Linked DNA regions of Saccharomyces cerevisiae S288C. Changing the gene in region 2 together with the main gene of any one other region gives a genetic interaction. Each region holds a gene or a part of one and is shown on either strand. Other genes may lie near its edges.

Region 1 (3,568 bases), on a different chromosome or scaffold from region 2:
GTAATGGCAACGGAGGACCCTTGCATATAACAAGTCTCTTCAACACATCAAGAAGAACTAGGCTAGGCTCTGCCCCTAACAACGCTGGTGAAGATTCAGATAATAATTCTATACGCACCACTAGTACCAACAATACAAAAAAGACCACACAAAATTCCAGTGATGACGGCAAGAATAAAGTGTTGTATGCATACGTACAAAAGGATGATGACGAAATCACCATTACGCCAGGAGACAAAATCTCTTTGGTTGCACGCGATACGGGTTCTGGATGGACTAAGATAAATAACGACACCACTGGGGAAACCGGCCTTGTACCCACCACATATATTCGCATATCTAGCGCGGCTACAGTTAAAGCAAATGATAGAGGCCCTGCACCAGAAGTACCACCACCAAGAAGGAGTACACTACCTGTTAGGACGATGGAGGCCATATATGCCTACGAAGCACAGGGAGATGATGAGATTTCAATTGATCCGGGGGACATAATTACTGTTATCAGAGGCGATGACGGTAGCGGGTGGACATATGGTGAATGTGACGGATTGAAAGGTCTATTTCCTACAAGTTACTGTAAATGAACGAAGGAATGAACTGAAACTATTAAATATTTTCCCTGGCCGCCACTTTTTTGAGAGGTATGACGACTCTATGTTATATATATATATATATATATATATATATATAGCACAAAATTTCATGTGATCAATCTACTAGGCGAACACCTAAATTGTTATTTATTTCCATGTCTATATCCATTTCAATGTCTGGCTCATCTTCGTCCTCGTTTTCGAATTCGGATTCAGATTCGGATTCCAAGGTAGTCTCCAAATCACAGTTTGTCCTACAGTTCGGACACATGAATTGAGGATAATTCATAATAACCAATCTTCTTACACAATGAAAATGCCAACTATGGGCACATGGTGATATAAAAATGGCTTGGCAAGGTTTTATTTTGTTTAGACAAATGGAACAGTCTTCTTGTTCTAAACCAGTAGTTAGTTTCTGTAGATTTTTTATTCGGCTCAAGGCTTCTTTATTAAATGCATTGGCCTTTAATTTCCAAGACTTGTTCAATTCTATTTTCATCTTAACACAACGATATATCTCTTCCGTCCCGCCGCGAAAGTCCATACCCAGCTGTATGATATCTCCGTCATGTAAAAGGTAGTCCTTAGAAGTGGTAGACGCAGAAGATAGACGCTGGTGGTTCAAAAAGGTCCCACTGGAAGACTTGACATCTTTCAAAAACCAGTTTCCTTGGTCATCAACTTTGAAACACCCATGGGTCCTGGATATCACTTTTGATTTGAACACTACGGGATGATACTGATCTGGAATTTTGGAAATTGCCTCTCTTACTCTTTCGGTGTATCTTCCGATGATAATTTGCGAGCCTGCGCCCGCAGTCCTGATAATGGGGTCAAAGAAAAGACCCTGGTTAGCCACAGACGTGGATGAAGTATCTATAAACGGGGTTAGCCTAATGCTGAAAAGCCCGTGCTTGTCCATTCTGCGTTTCAAAGTAGATTGGTCTATCCGTTCCGGTAGCGAGGTATTTGGTGGGAGATGTATATCAAGTGAAAACTCCGTCTGATTGACTTGGTTTGGAGGATATATGAAATGGCGGATACTCTTTGTAGTGTTCACCGCGGGGGCTGTATTCGTCTCCACAGTGGCAGCAGCAGCAGCAGTAGCACCAACATTGCCGTTTGCGCTACCGTTATTTGCAACGACTAAAGAAGTAGCCGTACGCGAGGGCAAAATACCTAAACCATTGCTAACGCTATTATTATTGCTGTTATTGTTAGGCGTATCGTTAATGGTGAGAGAGATGGATATCGGTAGTCTGATGGGATTGTTGAACTTGGTGTGATCGTGAGAGGTAGCGATGCCAGAAGCAGCAGGTGGCGTCTGGTTTGGGGGAGATGAGGGAACAGTATTAGTAGACATCCAGGAATAACCACTATACAGAACGTATGTGCACAGGAAATCGACACTGTAAGAAGAAAAGCTCACGGCACAAGAGTCAGAAACAGGGCAGTGAACAAAGAACGAGAAGTACGGTTTACAGTTGAGCCGTACACCGAGTTCCTCTTTGAATAATATCGAACCTATACACTAATGCACTAATGTGTTTCTGTTCACACCCAGAATTCTAAGGCTCCTGCTGATCCCAATGCTAAGGTTTATCAATTTTCTCATTCTCTTTGTGGGCCGTAAACAGTGATATTCTCTCACGAGAGCGCTTAAAGAGAATGGAGAAGCCCAGCCCCACCAGGCGGCAAACTAGTAGTCTCTCCACTATCTCCAACGGTATGACCATGACCAACGATAATAGGGATACCACAAATACCAACAGTGGCTCTACAAGCAGCAACAATTCACAACCATCTTCGTCTTCCACGCCACCAGCGGCCAGTGGACCCGTAACGGACAGAACCAAAGTCAACTATGTACCAAAGAGCGACGATCCGTCGTCATTTCAATACTACCCAGACGACCCGGAGAACCCGGTCAATAAGTATAAATTCGCGTTAAAGGCTGACAGTCAGTACTATGATCCTTGTGAGGAGTCCTCCAAGCTCAGTTTTCAGTGCCTCGAGCGCAACGATTACGACCGATCCAAGTGCCAAGAATATTTTGACGCATACCGCGAATGCAAGAAACAATGGCTGACAGCCAGGAGGAAAAACAGACAGCAGTGGGAATGAGGCAGCCTTTTCTTCTTGTTTGTTCAGCTGTGATCTGTTTTCTATATAGATCGCCACTACGCGACGTAGTGTTCCGACAGGCAGCCACAGCACACTCTAGTGCAATGTGAAAAACTAATTCGCAATGGTATGTAAATAAGCAAGCTAAATTGGATTTTCAAAGTGCGAATAAAGAATTTTTTGTATATATCTCTACATACTTGTATATACCGAACATAAGAAGCTCTTATGGCCGAAAACTCCCTCCTGAGGTTTATCACCAAGAACAAAGTGGCCATCCTAGCAACGGTCTCTGCGGGGACTGCTGCTGTGGGTGCTTATGTTTACTACCAGCAAATTAAGCAGCAGCAACAGCAGCAATTGAAGGGTACAAAAGACAACCGACGTCAAAGTGAGGCCTTTGCTGGTCAAAATGAAGACGAGGCGGACTTAAAGGACGACGGCAGCGTCGTAAGTGGAAGTAATAAGAGGAAGAAGAAGAAGAATAAACGCAAGAGGAACAATAAGGCAAAATCGGGAGAAGGGTTTGACTATCCCTCCTTGCCCAATGGCGAGCCTGATATTGCCCAATTGAAAGGCCTATCACCCTCCCAGAGACAAGCGTATGCCGTGCAACTGAAGAACAGAGGTAACCACTTCTTCACTGCTAAGAATTTTAATGAGGCCATCAAATACTACCAGTATGCCATTGAGCTGGACCCGAATGAACCAGTGTTCTATTCCAACATATCTGCTTGTTACATTTCTACGGGCGACTTAGAGAAGGTTATAGAGTTCACTACAAAGGCACTTGAGATAAAACCTGACCATTCTAAAGCCTTGCTGAGACGTGCATCTGCCAACGAGTC
Region 2 (3,595 bases):
TCACCAAAGAAGAGACGCACAGAAGATCATACAAAAGGTGAAGAAGATGAGGGAGAAAGGGGTGTTGGTAATAGCGGAACGCTGGCCACCGTGGAGAATGTCTCAGGAGACATCTCCGCAGATTTATCCAAAGGTACTTCATCTATCCATAACGATACTGAGTCTGCTAACGATAGTAGCAATGGCAACGGAAACCTCGGTTTGGGTACAGAGTCACGCAATACATTGTTAACGGCAACTCCCATTGAATTAATCTGCCGGGAAGGCTTCTTCTACCGGAGAGATATTCCGGACGTTCCCATTACCACAGGAGCGTACCTGGAATTTAAATTCAAGGCGAAAGAAGAGGAATTGATCAACTCTAGCATCAATGAGGAGGATTATGCTGCTAAATCAAAGCATGAAAAAATGAATGCGCATTTCTTCAAGCCTGATATTCAAGAAGAGACGGAACTTGCCTTTGAAATTTTGAGCAAGACAACGCTGACAGAGAAATACGTTAACAGTTTGGAGTACTTCTTGATGGAATTCAGGTGGGAGAATAAACTAGTTGGTCTAGGCTTAAAACTTCGGGAATCCAAAAGAACCTGGCAAAGGAGAAAGGCGTTATTTGCCCTTTTCGAATTTTGGAGAGACCAATCAAGAGACAAAAGAAGATTCCACAACTACACCATCCTGCATGCGGTGAAAGAGATGGAAAACTACAGAATATTTATTAATCGATCCGTTTCATGGTTCTACAACCATATTACCCTGCTAAAAATGATCCTCTACGACCTCTGCGACAATGTGACCACTCAATGGAGAGAGTGGATGTTTCCCCATAACGAAACACTGCCGGCATTGGGTCAGGACGGCATTAACGAAGACAATCTGAATGAAACCATCGACAACATGTTAATTTTTGACTTCCTTGATGACGGTTCAGAAAACAACCAGGTCAAATATTCCAGAATCATACCGCCAGATATCCGTTAAGCTGGTCCGTACGTTGGGGCAGTTTCGAGAATAGATAAAAAAATGAAAAATAAAAAAAAATAAAAAAAACACAAAATAATGGACCGTTACTATGCCCAACCAAGTAACCTCCCAACTTATTTGGAACATTACATATTTAGCGCTTAACATTACATACATATTTAGCGCTTAACATTACATACACCTTTATCGACGAATTTGTAACTATTTCTTACTCTTGCGCTGAGGAACGCCCCAGTCGTACAAAAGCACCTCTGCATACTAAGAAACTTAAACTATCGCCATTGTCTCAAAATAGCAAAAAACGCAAAAAGCATACCGCTGGGCGCTTATCTATATTAACCTACACGAGAAAAGAAACATGATTGACTGCGTCAGATTCAAAAACCTGCAAAGTTTGTTTTTATAATTTTGGCGTTCAGCAAGCGCGCGGCTCCGCTCCATTAATATTCCAGAAAAAGAAATTCCTTCTTTGGGTGTTGTGTATTGCTACTTTGGGCAGGCGCGACCGGGCCAAAAGAATGCGGCACCCGGCAAAGACGCGTTCTGGCCCCTGAAGACTTAAGCACTGGAATGGCTCCGAGGATTGGTCACCCAGAAACAGGTGCAGACCAACCATTTCGAGATCTAGATGTTGCCTATTTCTCGAGGAAACGCTGCCGTTATCGCCATGTTTGGTGGAACAATTGTGAAACGTGATCAATTCGTGTTTGCAAGCTAGTGATCATTCGCATCCGAAAAAGAAACTGAAAATGTAAAACTCCAGTAAAACGAGACCTGTTGATGGATTGTTTCGTGTCTGGTATATATTATTGCTACTGCTCAAGAGAGCTTCTTTTTTTATGCTATCGAACTCGATCTTTCGCTCCGAAACACCTAACACTAACAAAAGGAATACCTGACAGAATACGCTATCAAAAGAACGAATATGACTAGTGCAAGTATTACCAATACTGGAAACGAAACCATGAACCTTCCACAGATGCGGTCGATTTGGCTGGATGAAGATGAAGAAGCTGAAAAACTCTACGGTCTGCAGGCCCAGCAATTCATGGGATCTGATGATGAAGAAAACCTAGGCATTACTTTCATCAACAGCGATAAACCTGTGCTGAGTAACAAGAAAAACATTGAGTTGCCTCCACTTTCACCAAATTCACATCCGTCTTGCCACCACAGGAGAAGTAATTCTAACTCTGCAAAGTCTAAAGAATCATCGTCATCATCGTCCAGCGCCAACAAGACAAATCACAAAAAGGTTTTCCTTAAGCTTAATTTGTTGAAGAAAAAGTTGCTTGGTGCCCAACCGGACATAAGAGGTAAAGGTATCTCCACACCATTTGATTTTCAACATATTTCACATGCTGACACTAGAAATGGATTCCAAGATGAGCAATTGCAGGAACCTTCATCGCTGTCCACAGAGATTAAGGACGACTATACCTCCTCCTCAAGCAAGCGGGATTCGAAATCACTAAATAAAGCTTTTGTCACTGAAAGGATCCCTGCTAATCGTGAAAGCAAACTCATTTCAAGATCGCACGAAAATAAGACATCAAGACTATCAGTCGCGCGTTCGATCTCAGTAACGTCCTCCAATTACTCTAAAAACACACAAGGAAACAATCATTCCATTAATGGGAGAGTCGTATCTACGTCAACTATGGCTACATCTATTTTTGAGTATTCCCCAAACGCATCTCCAAAACAATTTAAAAATAAGTCACACGCTCTGGGTCATAGATACACTAATTCCACGGATTCTAGTGAGTCTTCGCTGGATTTTTTGAAGAACTACAACTTCCCCACACTACTTGAAGATAAGCCTATTTTAGACTTCTTGCCTCGTTCTCAGAGGTCAAGCGCTTATCGTAGCCTTTTAGAGACCCCAAACTCAAATAAGGACTCAGCAAAAGCCTTCTTTCCTTCACGCCAAAGCCCTCTTCCCAAGAGAAGAAACTCTATAGCTACGCCTTCTCCACAATCTAAATTTTCCTACTCTGACTCCCCTGTAAACCATAGAAAATCTTTCGATGATGTTCTTTATTCTTTCAACCAGCTCGAGCCCCTGCAAACTTAAGCTAAGGACAGAAAATGAAAAAAAAAAAAAAAAAAAATTCAAAGAATCAGCTTATAAAACATATTCAAGGACCATCTGAAGTATCATTCATTCGTTTTTTACTCGTTAATCTCATTCATTCGTTTCCTCATTCTTTTTTCTTTGTTCTTTATTTCGGCTATTTTTTCACTATTAAAATAACTAGAGCTAACAATATTATTTCTTCTGCTTTAGTTACAAAACAAGGACATTCATTTAACTTGGCGTTATCCCATACATTCGTTTATTATATCTTCTTTTAAAACACAATTTCTTTTACAGTTAAACTTTTCTGATTTATTATATATTACTTAAGATTGTTCATATAACTAACATTTATATGCTTATATGCGTGAAGTGCGCTTTTGTAGAACATGTGGCTGTTTCTGTAGAAGCCTTGTCTTTCTCTGTAATCCTTTAAAGGCCAACCGTACGTGCTTAATTACAAGCTTTGTTCGCATTGCAAGAAAGTTAGAAAAAAAATCAATTCTGAAAGATAATTATAATTCAAACGGTAAA
Region 3 (6,257 bases), on a different chromosome or scaffold from region 2:
CATGCCGAACCTGTTGGATGAAGTGAAAAAATGGCCGGATCTATCGAACCAAAGGGACTTCTTCCAAAAAGGCACAGCCAGTCGTAAAGTTTTATTCATGAAAGGCCTGCAGTCTAACTTTATTAACAATGATTATTCCCTCCTGAGGTATAACTTTCCCTGTGCTGATGTCCGAGAATTTAATACTGGGCATAATTTACTGTTGGAGAATCCAGAGGACTCATTCAAATGTATTCTGAACTTTTTTGCGGAGGAGACGCTGGATTTTGAATAAAATCTTGATGTACGTAACGCACTTTCTTCTCGTGTCAGGCCCAAATCAACGCACACAGCAGTGCTTCGATCTTTGATTACAAAGTAGATAATGATAAATGGAATAGATAAAAGTATTAAAACAACGTCTCCTTGAAGGAGAACTATACATAAGATATGAAATAAGTAGGTATCGTTATAAGTTTATAAGGTTATGCAAGCGGAGAAAGTCTCTGCAGACATTGCTATCAAACTTCGTTCCAACCCAGGGAGTTTTGGCTAGCAATTGGTCTTGAAATTTTTGGTATGGAACTCGATGTATTGTGCCTGGTTGGAGTTGAGTCATTATTTGTCAACCCGTGACCATAGTAACTATCATCCATCCAATTTTGAATTCGCATAGATTGTGTTATGGATTCTTGAACGCTCATTCTCTTTTCATTATTGTAATTTTTCTCTCCACCAAATTCACTTGAACTGATACTGGAAATTTCTGGGTTCTTGATAATTTCTTGACTTTGAATCCGCCTTCTTATGATATACTTGAAAGCAAAAATCATGAATAAAATATATAAGCATCCACCAACAACAACGCCGATAACTAAACCAATGATTTTTTTCTTTGATTTGCTAGAAGTGGATACGTTGGAGTTAGATTTGGATGAATATTCCAAAGTACCGGCATCTTGATAGGAATTTCCGGAAGATGAAGACACACCGGAGTTCGAATTAGATCCTGAACCTGAAGATCCTGAGTTCGAATTACTGGAGGAGGATCCGTCCGAAGATCCGCCAGAGTTGCTGTTACTATCGTGTAAGAGGCCCGTTAGCGGTATTGAGGAATCAACCATTGCAGCCATAGATTTTGCTGTACCCATTCCATCCGTGTAAAAAGCGCTTGAAGAGTTGGTAATTAGATTTGACAGCTCCTCTATTTCTGCAGTTGGAAAGTATACTTCAGCAACACTTACTAAGTAGTTGAGTGAGTCATCCTGTAATGGCACTATTTGTAGTACCGTAATGTTTGTGAATACGTTCTTAAAAGGTGTGTTCAGAGCTTCAGGCAAGTATCCGAAGATTTGAGCCGATGATTTTGGTTCTGATACAACAAATTCGTAGTTCAAAGCTTTTTTGAACCCTATTGTGATTAGGGTGTAGCCCTCAGGCTCGGGAACTTGTGTCGCGGCTGCAATTGCATGGGGCAAAGTCATAGTTTGTGTTCCTCCAACGGTAGAAGATGCAGTGGATGCAGCTTCTGGTGCCTGCGTGATTAACTCAGTTGGAATCCACCAATTGTTGTCACTTGAAGTGACCAGACTAAACGTACTGGAACTGTTAGTCGTTGATGGTTCTAAAACGGTCGTCGATTCCGTTGTTAAACTCGTCTGTACATTAGTATTTGTAGCAACCTGACTTAAAGAGGATGTTGATGGTGTAAGCAACAGAGAGGATGCCTTTGAAGATGGGGTTGGCGTAGACGTTGCCACTTCCAATGGAGCGGAAGCAGAACTGCTGTTTGCGTCGGTAAAAGATAGAGTTGTGGATTGAGTAGCCGCGGTTGTCTGGATGCTATGGTATTCGGAAGCTGTTGCATTGATTGAGCTAGTAATCTCAGAAGCTTGTTGGCTAACAGAACTACTTTCAGAAAGCGCTCCATGAGTGGAAATGGTGAAACGTTGGGAGGATGTAGTGGTGGGCTGTAGTGAGCTAGATGTTTGAGAAACGGACGACCTTGAACTTGTAGAAGGCACCGGAGTGTCTGAGACTTGAGAAACGGACGATCTGGAACTTGTAGAAGGTACTGACGTGTCTGAAACTTGAGAAACGGACGAACTTGAAGTTGTATAAGAAACCGGTGTGTCTGAAACTTGAGAAACAGATGAACTTGAAGTTGTATAAGAAACTGGTGTGTCTGAAACTTGAGAAACAGACGAACTTGAAGTTGTATAAGAAACCGGTGTGTCTGAAACTTGAGAAACAGACGAACTTGAAGTTGTATAAGAAACTGGTGTGTCTGAAACTTGAGAAACAGACGAACTTGAAGTTGTATAAGACACCGATGTGTCTGAAACCTGAGAAAGTATACCAGTGGATGATATAGTGTACTGAGATGATGAGCTTGCAGAATTCATTTGAGTTGTCGTCTGAGAGGGTGAGAATTCGCTGGAAATCGAAGAAGGCATTTGAACTAAAACAGAGCTGGTAGAAAAACCTTGACTAGATGTTTCACTTCCTTCTGTTGTTGAAGACGATGCGAATGAGGAAGTTTGCAATGCAGTTGTGCTTTGTGAATAACTTACCTGGGAAGTTTCCGCAGATGTAGATGATATGAGGGATGAGGCCTCTGTAGATGCACCACCTGCAGTGGTATAGGGTGAAGTTGTAGAAACAGAACTGCTAGCTAGCACAGCTGAAGTGCTTGTAGCTTGAGACTCCGAAAGCAAACTTGAAGTGGATGGAGGCTGTGATTGCAAATTTCCTGCCATATAAGTAGACGAGGAGCCCGACAGTGTTGCAGAAGCTGTAGATGCAGCGGATTCCTCAGAACTGCCAGTACTACTTGAATATACTATAGTTGATGAAGAGGGATTGGTCATGCTAGAGCCACCTGCTTGCAGTGAAGTATAAGAAAAGGATGAACTAACTACACTTGGAGCACTGGTGCTAGCAACATCTGAGGAACTTTGTGATGGAACAAAAGATACCGAAGGGCTAACAACGCTAAAACTGCTGGAAGTACTTGCTTGTTCTGAGGCTGACAACAGCGGTATGCTTGCTGTACTGGAGACGCCATAATCTGTAAGGTCTGAACTCGACGCAGAGGAGCTAGCTAAACTTGAGCTATCCAAAGTAGTAGACTGTAGCGAAGTAGTTGATAATAATGAACTCATTGTGCTCGAGGCACTGGCACCATATACCTCTGTTGAACTTTGAAATGCGAGGGCAGATGCGGATTGCGCTACCGAAACTACGCTCCCTGAGGTACTAGTTTGCGGTGGAATATCAGAAAAGGATGAACTAACTACATTTGCAGTACTGGAGCTAGCAACGTCTGAGGAACTCTGTGATGGAACAAAAGATACCGATGGGCTAACAATGCTGAAACTGTTGGAAGTACTTGTTTGTAAAAAAGGAGCCGATAATAATGCGCTCACTGTTGATGAAACATCGGAACCATCAACTTCTGTAGATGTTAACGAAAAGGTTTCTGACATAGTTGGATTATCTGTGCTGCTTGAGCTAGCTATTTGTCCTGCGGCGCTCATGCTCACTACAGGTGAGGCGCTTGAGCCATCAACGTCTGTTGAACTTACTGGTAGAGCTGCTGATGCAGTGGTAAAACTGCTTGATTCACTTGTTTGCAGTGGGGCAGCTGATAGCGATATATCGGTAGTAGTTGGAGAACTAGGGCTACTGAAATCCGCCGAACTTTGTACTAAAATTTCACTAGAACTACTAAAATCTGCTGAACTTTGCACCGGAATGGCACCAGCAGTCGAAGTTTGGTCAAAACTTTCTGAACTATCGGTGGTTGTTAGGGAGGCAGAAATAGGGTTTGCTGACGAAAATACGTTATCAGCTGCGGACATCGTACTAGTGGAAATAAGTGGAGTGTCCGAAGTGAGAGGTGCACTCGTTGTAGTCTCTATGTTACTTGTAGTTGTGAAAGGGATAGAATTAGCACTCGTATCAATGGGAACACTGGCAGTGGAGACATCAGAAGCTGCATTTACACTAGAAGCAGCAAAATCGGCCGATGTACTGAAGGTTGGCGCATAGTAGCTTGTCGTACTGGTAGATGGCAGTTGATTAGTAGACGCGCTCCAAGAGTTTTGATTAACGGCATAGTCGGATTCTTGACTGGCATATGACACAGAAGTCTGGGAAGTGGAGCTCGCATCATACCAAGTAGATGGGAGGGAAGAGATTGTGGCACTCACTATTGTTGCAGACTGGTGCGAATGAACACCTTGAGAATAGGCTGTTACCAAAGAGGTGGTGGAACTATCCTGAGAAGCTTCATTGGTGAAAGAAACTTGACCTTGACTCTCGCTTTGGCTCTGAGCTTGTTGCGTTCCATTGCCGAATATAAAGTCGAAGGGGCTGGCCCGGGCCAATGACCCACTAATTACAAGGGTCGATAGGAGACAAGCGAATGGAAACTGCATAGATGGGTATAATTAGGAAGCCTAATGAAAAGTCAATAAAAATAGGAAACGAGGTGGAAGCCAGCTAGAGATGAACAGAATACACAATAAGTCGTTAAAGGAATGAATAATATTTTCACAAATATTTTGGTCGGTTGGAACGAGCCGAAGTCAGATGCTTTTAGTTCTTCTAAGAGAGAGCTTATTACTTCTGGAAAAAAAGAAAAAAATGGTAAAAAACAGGTAAGATTATTTTAGCAATATTATGGGGTCCCTTGGTGAGGTCGAATAGTTTTGGTAATCTATTATAAATGTAAAAATGCAGGAAATAAAGAACTTGGTACTATGGAAATGTATAAAAGTTATATATATCAGCACGAAGATGAGATAGTAAAAAAACACCCACTGGTGCTATTTTGATCTGGCAACGCCCGACGTGTCTAGCCACTTGCTGCAAAACGCCCCGAAACGGTAATTTGTTTTCGTGTCTTCGCCTGTTTCAGAGCGAGCCTTTCCCTTTTGGGACGCGCGCCAAGGCCCTTCTGTTTCAGGTCCCCAAGCGAAATTCTTTACGACTCCACAGTCTATCAGCTATCGTTTCCCCGTCCTCGTCGAAAGTCTCCCTTAGCTCATTTAAAAGGGCCTGTTTGCTCTGGTTCACGCGGATGTTCTCAAGAATGTATTCCACCAGCTCGTCCTCGTAGACGCCGAGGAATTCACGCACCAGTTCGTCCACGTAGCGCGATTCCTTCAGATTAGTTAGTCTTATGTTCAGTTCATCTGCTGTAAATGGCAAACGGTCCTCTGCCGCGCTTCTCTCGGAGGGTTTTGTTGGAGGTAGCTCGCTCTCTCTGTATCCCTCGTCTTCGCTAGAGCTTTCAACTGAGTGATCAATAGCCTTCTTAAAGTCGAATTTGATCTTGACGTGTTCTGAGCTCTCAGACACATTCTTGTCCGCGTTATAGTTCTCGCTCTTCACAGTGCCTTCAGGAAGGGTGATGGCGGCAGCCTTCCCTGCAGATATGGCCTTACCATCCGATAGTTGTATAGGCGCCAGTTCCTTTGCATTTCCATTTTTAGCTCTATCCTCTTCGTCCCTTCTTTCCTCTTGCTCCTTGAAAGATCTATGGTGGTCGTAATGAACGTCGTTGGCAAGGTGTAATAGCTCCTTCAAATATAATGAGCGATTTTTCTCCAAATGTTCCTCATAGTTTTCAGCACTCATGATATCAGCCCTAATGGATTTTATCTTAGGCTCTGTATTGGAATGTAATTGGTGTAACATATCCTCATATCTACGATTTGATTCTTCCAGGTCTCTTTCTTCTTTTCTCTTCTCTAAGGCAAGGTCGTCTTCAGTGTCATCCTCCTCATCTTCATCTTCCATATTAGTATCCTCCTCCTCTGTATTGGCGCTCCCTTTGGCTCCTGAGTGGTTTTTCCTTATTTGATCAAAAACTTTTTGCATTTGGTGTCTTTGACGCCTACTTTCCTCGTACGTACTTTTCATTTTTTTTTCTTTCTCTATACTGACAACTTTTGTCCTAAATTCTATTATATCCTTGCACAATTGGTCCAAAGCATCCGATGGCAAATCACTTAAAGTGTTTGTATCCACTTTGTATTGTGTGGAAGAGTCATCCAACTGTTCTTTCTTTGAATTTCTTTCGTCTGTTTGATCTTCAATGTTTTTGAAAACAGAATAAAATTCGCTAGCCTTTTCTGGCTTAACACTCGGTATAGTTCCTGTTCGGTCTTCGACATATTCTTTTGTGTTCAAATCCAAGTGTAACTCAATCTTGAAATCCTCATGTAGCTTTCTAATAAACGCGAATAAGGCTTTGCAGTAGTTCAGCG
Region 4 (5,158 bases), on a different chromosome or scaffold from region 2:
TCTTGATCGCATGAGTATTCTCATCGGTGGCGGTCCGCTCTTTATCTGAACCTGTTAGGTCTATGATAAAATCTTTGTCATCGTCGTCGGGTGATTTCACGAGCGTAGCATCATCACGGTATTCTTCATCTTGGCTGTCATTTACGTTTTCGCTGTTCCCTTTCAGCTGCAGAGTTTTTGAGTTTTTCACAGCTGTATCGTCATCGCTTAGTTCATTATAATTAACACTTTTTTTCGTACTTCTCGTACGCCTTCTACGGATAAAGCCCCCTTCTTGCATGATTTTTCAGTTGGTACACCAGTTATACGGCCAAGAGTATCTAAAATTACCAAAACTACTAAGGTTTGAAAACACCACGCAGCATTACGTCGTTATACTGTCGGTTTTATTAGTCCTTAAGGTCCTATCTGTGCATTTTTTTTATAGCGTTAATCCGAAACTTGAAAAAAAAAAGAAAAGGGAAATGAAAAGGGAAGAAAAAGAAACGGAGGCGCAGGAGGAAGGAGGGGGGAAAAATAGAAGCAACGCAGAAGTCCCCACTGTTTCCCTGGCAACCATGGCGGGAAAAGGGTAACAGATTTTTTCGAGGAGTAACACATTTTGTGCTGTGTGGGTTGGTAGTTTTGGCGGCTAAAAATCAAAGGGAAGAGGGGATGTACTACTTTCAAACCTTCTCACTTTTTGTTGATTTTGAGTGCTGTAAGGATTGTGGTTTAGGCATTTTGACAAGCTCCTTAAAATCTAAGCGTCGGAACAACTGACGAACTTTAAAACCATAAACTCAAAAACCGGTCAACATGAAACCGTTACGGTTTCTCGGTATCCTATGCTTTAAGCTAATGAAACATCCACATAACGAAGATAAAAACTAAAGCACATCCGATCTGAGTTTTGAGCTGGGCGGCAAAAACAAAACTGTCAGTGGCTGGCTGATACAGGGCACGTGAGAGGTCACTGAGGACGAAGGGTGCGGCTCACCCGGATTGGCTGAGTCACCTTCATCGCGTCCACGTCACTCCTCGTTCGCTTTTTTTTTCCCTTTTCTTCTTTTGTGCACCACTCAGGGCACGAGAAAAGCTTATTTTTTTCGTGCACACTCCGTTCTTAGTGGTTGTTCCACATCTTTTTTGTGCTTGTGCGTTTGCCAATGCTAAAATGGAAATTGCCTTATAACGTGGGCCATGTCATGCCGTGTCCTCTCGTTTCGTAAAACTTACCACACGTACCGGACTGTTCCGTCCTGTCTCGTATCGCACGGGTGCCGTATCGGCTCTAATTATTTTATCTCTCTATTTTCTTTCTTTTCTCTGCGCTACTCCTTTCTCGATCGTTGCTACTCCCGTCGCTAGCCACTGGTCTCCCGCGTACTGTACTCCATCTTTTTTTGGCGTTTTTCCCCTATCCAACTCGAACAAGGTTTGTTTAAATTTATTTTATTTTTCTTTTCTTCGGTCGGTCGTTCTTTTCCCTTCCGATTATCAAAGCAAAAGCGCATTTTTTTCTTTGTCTTTTTGTTTTTTGTTTCCTGTTCTCTGTTTTTTTACAAACCACGTCAGGAGTTCAATTGAGAGAACTAGAATCAACAAAGCCAAATACGACAACGTCACTAGTCTTTGAACCAGAGGCGTATTCCCGTTACCTCTTTTCCCATATTTCTGTTTTTCTTTTTCACTGCTATAAGCCTTTAGACTAGTACTACAACTACAACAGCAACAACAACAAACAAAACACGACTGGAAAAAAAAAATTAGGAAAAATGAATCCGGGCGGTGAACAAACAATAATGGAACAACCCGCTCAACAGCAACAACAACAGCAACAACAACAGCAGCAACAGCAACAGCAGGCAGCAGTTCCTCAGCAGCCACTCGACCCATTAACACAATCAACTGCGGAAACTTGGCTCTCCATTGCTTCTTTGGCAGAAACCCTTGGTGATGGCGACAGGGCCGCAATGGCATATGACGCCACTTTACAGTTCAATCCCTCATCTGCAAAGGCTTTAACATCTTTGGCTCACTTGTACCGTTCCAGAGACATGTTCCAAAGAGCTGCAGAATTATATGAAAGAGCACTTTTGGTAAATCCCGAACTATCAGATGTGTGGGCTACTTTAGGTCATTGTTATCTGATGCTGGATGATCTGCAAAGAGCTTACAATGCCTATCAACAGGCTCTCTACCACCTCAGTAATCCCAACGTACCGAAATTATGGCATGGAATCGGCATTCTTTATGACAGATATGGTTCGCTCGACTATGCCGAAGAAGCTTTTGCCAAAGTTTTGGAATTGGACCCTCATTTTGAAAAGGCAAACGAAATTTACTTCAGACTAGGTATTATTTATAAACATCAGGGTAAATGGTCTCAAGCTTTGGAATGCTTCAGATACATTCTCCCTCAACCTCCTGCTCCCTTGCAGGAGTGGGACATATGGTTTCAGTTGGGTAGTGTTTTGGAGAGTATGGGAGAGTGGCAAGGTGCGAAGGAAGCCTACGAGCATGTCTTGGCTCAAAATCAACATCATGCCAAAGTATTACAACAATTAGGTTGTCTTTACGGTATGAGTAACGTACAATTTTATGACCCTCAAAAGGCATTGGATTATCTTCTAAAGTCGTTAGAAGCAGATCCCTCCGATGCCACTACATGGTACCATCTCGGTAGAGTGCATATGATTAGAACAGATTATACTGCCGCATATGATGCTTTCCAACAAGCTGTTAATAGAGATTCAAGAAACCCTATCTTTTGGTGCTCAATCGGTGTTTTATATTACCAAATTTCTCAATACAGAGACGCCTTAGACGCGTACACAAGAGCCATAAGATTAAATCCTTATATTAGTGAAGTTTGGTACGATCTAGGTACTCTTTACGAAACTTGTAACAACCAATTATCTGACGCCCTTGATGCGTATAAGCAAGCTGCAAGACTGGACGTAAATAATGTTCACATAAGAGAAAGATTAGAAGCTTTAACAAAGCAGTTAGAAAACCCAGGCAATATAAACAAATCGAACGGTGCGCCAACGAATGCCTCTCCTGCCCCACCTCCTGTGATTTTACAACCTACCTTACAACCTAATGATCAAGGAAATCCTTTGAACACTAGAATTTCAGCCCAATCTGCCAATGCTACTGCTTCAATGGTACAACAACAGCATCCTGCTCAACAAACGCCTATTAACTCTTCTGCAACAATGTACAGTAATGGAGCTTCCCCTCAATTACAAGCTCAAGCTCAAGCTCAAGCTCAAGCACAAGCTCAAGCACAAGCACAAGCTCAAGCACAAGCACAAGCACAAGCGCAAGCACAAGCACAAGCACAGGCGCAAGCACAGGCACAAGCACAAGCACAAGCACATGCACAAGCGCAAGCACAAGCACAAGCACAGGCACAAGCACAAGCACAGGCGCAGGCACAACAACAACAACAACAACAGCAACAACAACAACAACAACAACAACAACAACAACAACAACAACAACAACAACAACAACAACAGCAGCAGCAATTACAGCCCCTACCAAGACAACAGCTGCAGCAAAAGGGAGTTTCTGTGCAAATGTTAAATCCTCAACAAGGGCAACCATATATCACACAGCCAACAGTCATACAAGCTCACCAACTGCAACCATTTTCTACACAAGCTATGGAACATCCGCAAAGCTCTCAACTGCCACCTCAACAGCAACAACTACAATCTGTTCAACATCCACAACAACTTCAAGGCCAGCCTCAAGCCCAAGCTCCCCAACCTTTAATCCAGCATAACGTGGAACAGAACGTTTTACCTCAAAAGAGATACATGGAAGGTGCAATCCACACTTTAGTAGATGCCGCCGTATCCAGTAGCACCCACACAGAGAATAACACAAAGTCTCCTCGTCAACCAACCCATGCCATTCCAACGCAAGCTCCCGCAACAGGAATAACGAACGCTGAACCACAGGTAAAGAAGCAAAAGTTGAACTCTCCAAATTCAAACATCAACAAATTAGTAAATACTGCTACTTCCATTGAAGAAAATGCAAAATCTGAGGTGAGCAACCAATCGCCAGCAGTAGTGGAGTCTAATACCAATAATACTTCACAAGAAGAAAAACCTGTAAAAGCAAACTCAATACCTTCAGTAATTGGCGCACAGGAACCTCCACAGGAAGCTAGTCCTGCTGAAGAAGCTACCAAAGCAGCTTCTGTTTCTCCTTCTACAAAACCGCTTAATACGGAACCAGAGTCATCTAGTGTCCAACCAACTGTATCATCAGAAAGTTCAACAACAAAAGCAAATGACCAAAGCACTGCTGAGACCATAGAACTTTCTACTGCTACTGTTCCTGCAGAAGCAAGCCCTGTAGAAGACGAAGTAAGACAGCATTCTAAAGAGGAAAACGGCACAACTGAAGCATCTGCACCTTCTACTGAAGAGGCGGAGCCAGCAGCTTCCAGAGATGCTGAAAAACAACAAGATGAAACCGCTGCTACAACGATAACTGTAATCAAACCTACTTTGGAAACAATGGAAACAGTGAAAGAGGAGGCCAAAATGCGTGAGGAAGAGCAAACATCTCAAGAAAAATCCCCACAGGAGAACACACTTCCAAGAGAAAATGTAGTAAGGCAAGTGGAAGAAGATGAAAACTACGACGACTAAAAAGTTTGCATTCAAAAAATTAATCTACTAATTTATAATCAACGAGAAATGTTGTGTAGCTCACAATTCATTCATTATGTTGTGGATACATATATAAATAAAGAAAAGGCTAAAAAAAAAGGTGGGTAACGTGAATTAGGTTATTTTTCATATATGCACATGTAAATATATGCGTATATAAATATATTATTATTTGTATCATTACATACTTAAAATCTATTATTGCTTAAAAGGTTTTCCCGATGAGCATATGTAATAATATTGGGAATTAAGGTGCATTTTCGTATCCTTCATTGTGTATCTACAATCTCTTCAAGAAATTCCCTTATTTGCTTTAAAACGGTTTCCCTTGTTGAATCCGATACCATTTCTAGAAAAAAAAATTCCACTGTTAGTAACGTTCTCTTTTCAATAAATTTAGTGATAAAATATTCACATACCTAATGCTTTGGGTTCTACGGTGGATAAAATTTGGGTAAAGTTCGTAGATTCATTTATGT

The links.
Region 1: mutations in GIC2 (region 2) and DMA1 impair growth when combined (synthetic growth defect), as found in Saccharomyces cerevisiae (one study listed by BioGRID).
Region 3: of GIC2 (region 2) and MSB2, extra expression of one rescues a mutant of the other (dosage rescue), as found in Saccharomyces cerevisiae (2 studies listed by BioGRID).
Region 4: of GIC2 (region 2) and CYC8, extra expression of one rescues a mutant of the other (dosage rescue), as found in Saccharomyces cerevisiae (one study listed by BioGRID).

Annotation. Positions count from the first base shown.
Region 1 is NC_001140.6:339,401-342,968, forward strand, and holds DMA1 (ubiquitin-conjugating protein DMA1), read right to left. Parts: upstream 1,960-3,568; coding exon 709-1,959; downstream 1-708. Other genes in the region: BZZ1 (Bzz1p), read left to right, coding at 1-584; COX23 (Cox23p), read left to right, coding at 2,265-2,720; protein channel TOM71, read left to right, coding at 2,949-3,568. UniProt on the Saccharomyces cerevisiae protein: E3 ubiquitin-protein ligase which functions in cell cycle retarding in conjunction with the UBC4 and UBC13/MMS2 complex, 2 E2 ubiquitin conjugating enzymes. Involved in nutritional control of the cell cycle. Targets the G1 cyclin PCL1 for destruction.
Region 2 is NC_001136.10:1,078,511-1,082,105, reverse strand, and holds GIC2 (Gic2p), read left to right. Parts: upstream 1-1,906; coding exon 1,907-3,058; downstream 3,059-3,595. Other genes in the region: SUM1 (Sum1p), read left to right, coding at 1-978. UniProt on the Saccharomyces cerevisiae protein: Required for cell size and shape control, bud site selection, bud emergence, actin cytoskeletal organization, mitotic spindle orientation/positioning, and mating projection formation in response to mating pheromone.
Region 3 is NC_001139.9:515,107-521,363, reverse strand, and holds MSB2 (Msb2p), read right to left. Parts: upstream 4,422-6,257; coding exon 501-4,421; downstream 1-500. Other genes in the region: EAT1 (putative hydrolase), read left to right, coding at 1-274; SNU71 (Snu71p), read right to left, coding at 4,948-6,257. UniProt on the Saccharomyces cerevisiae protein: Plasma membrane signaling mucin that promotes activation of the MAPK for the filamentous growth pathway. Partially redundant with the SHO1 osmosensing branch for the activation of STE11.
Region 4 is NC_001134.8:462,370-467,527, reverse strand, and holds CYC8 (transcription regulator CYC8), read left to right. Parts: upstream 1-1,757; coding exon 1,758-4,658; downstream 4,659-5,158. Other genes in the region: DNA repair protein RAD16, read right to left, coding at 1-280; SUS1 (Sus1p), read right to left, coding at 4,949-5,028, 5,099-5,158. UniProt on the Saccharomyces cerevisiae protein: Acts as a component of the CYC8-TUP1 corepressor complex which is involved in the repression of many genes in a wide variety of physiological processes including heme-regulated and catabolite repressed genes.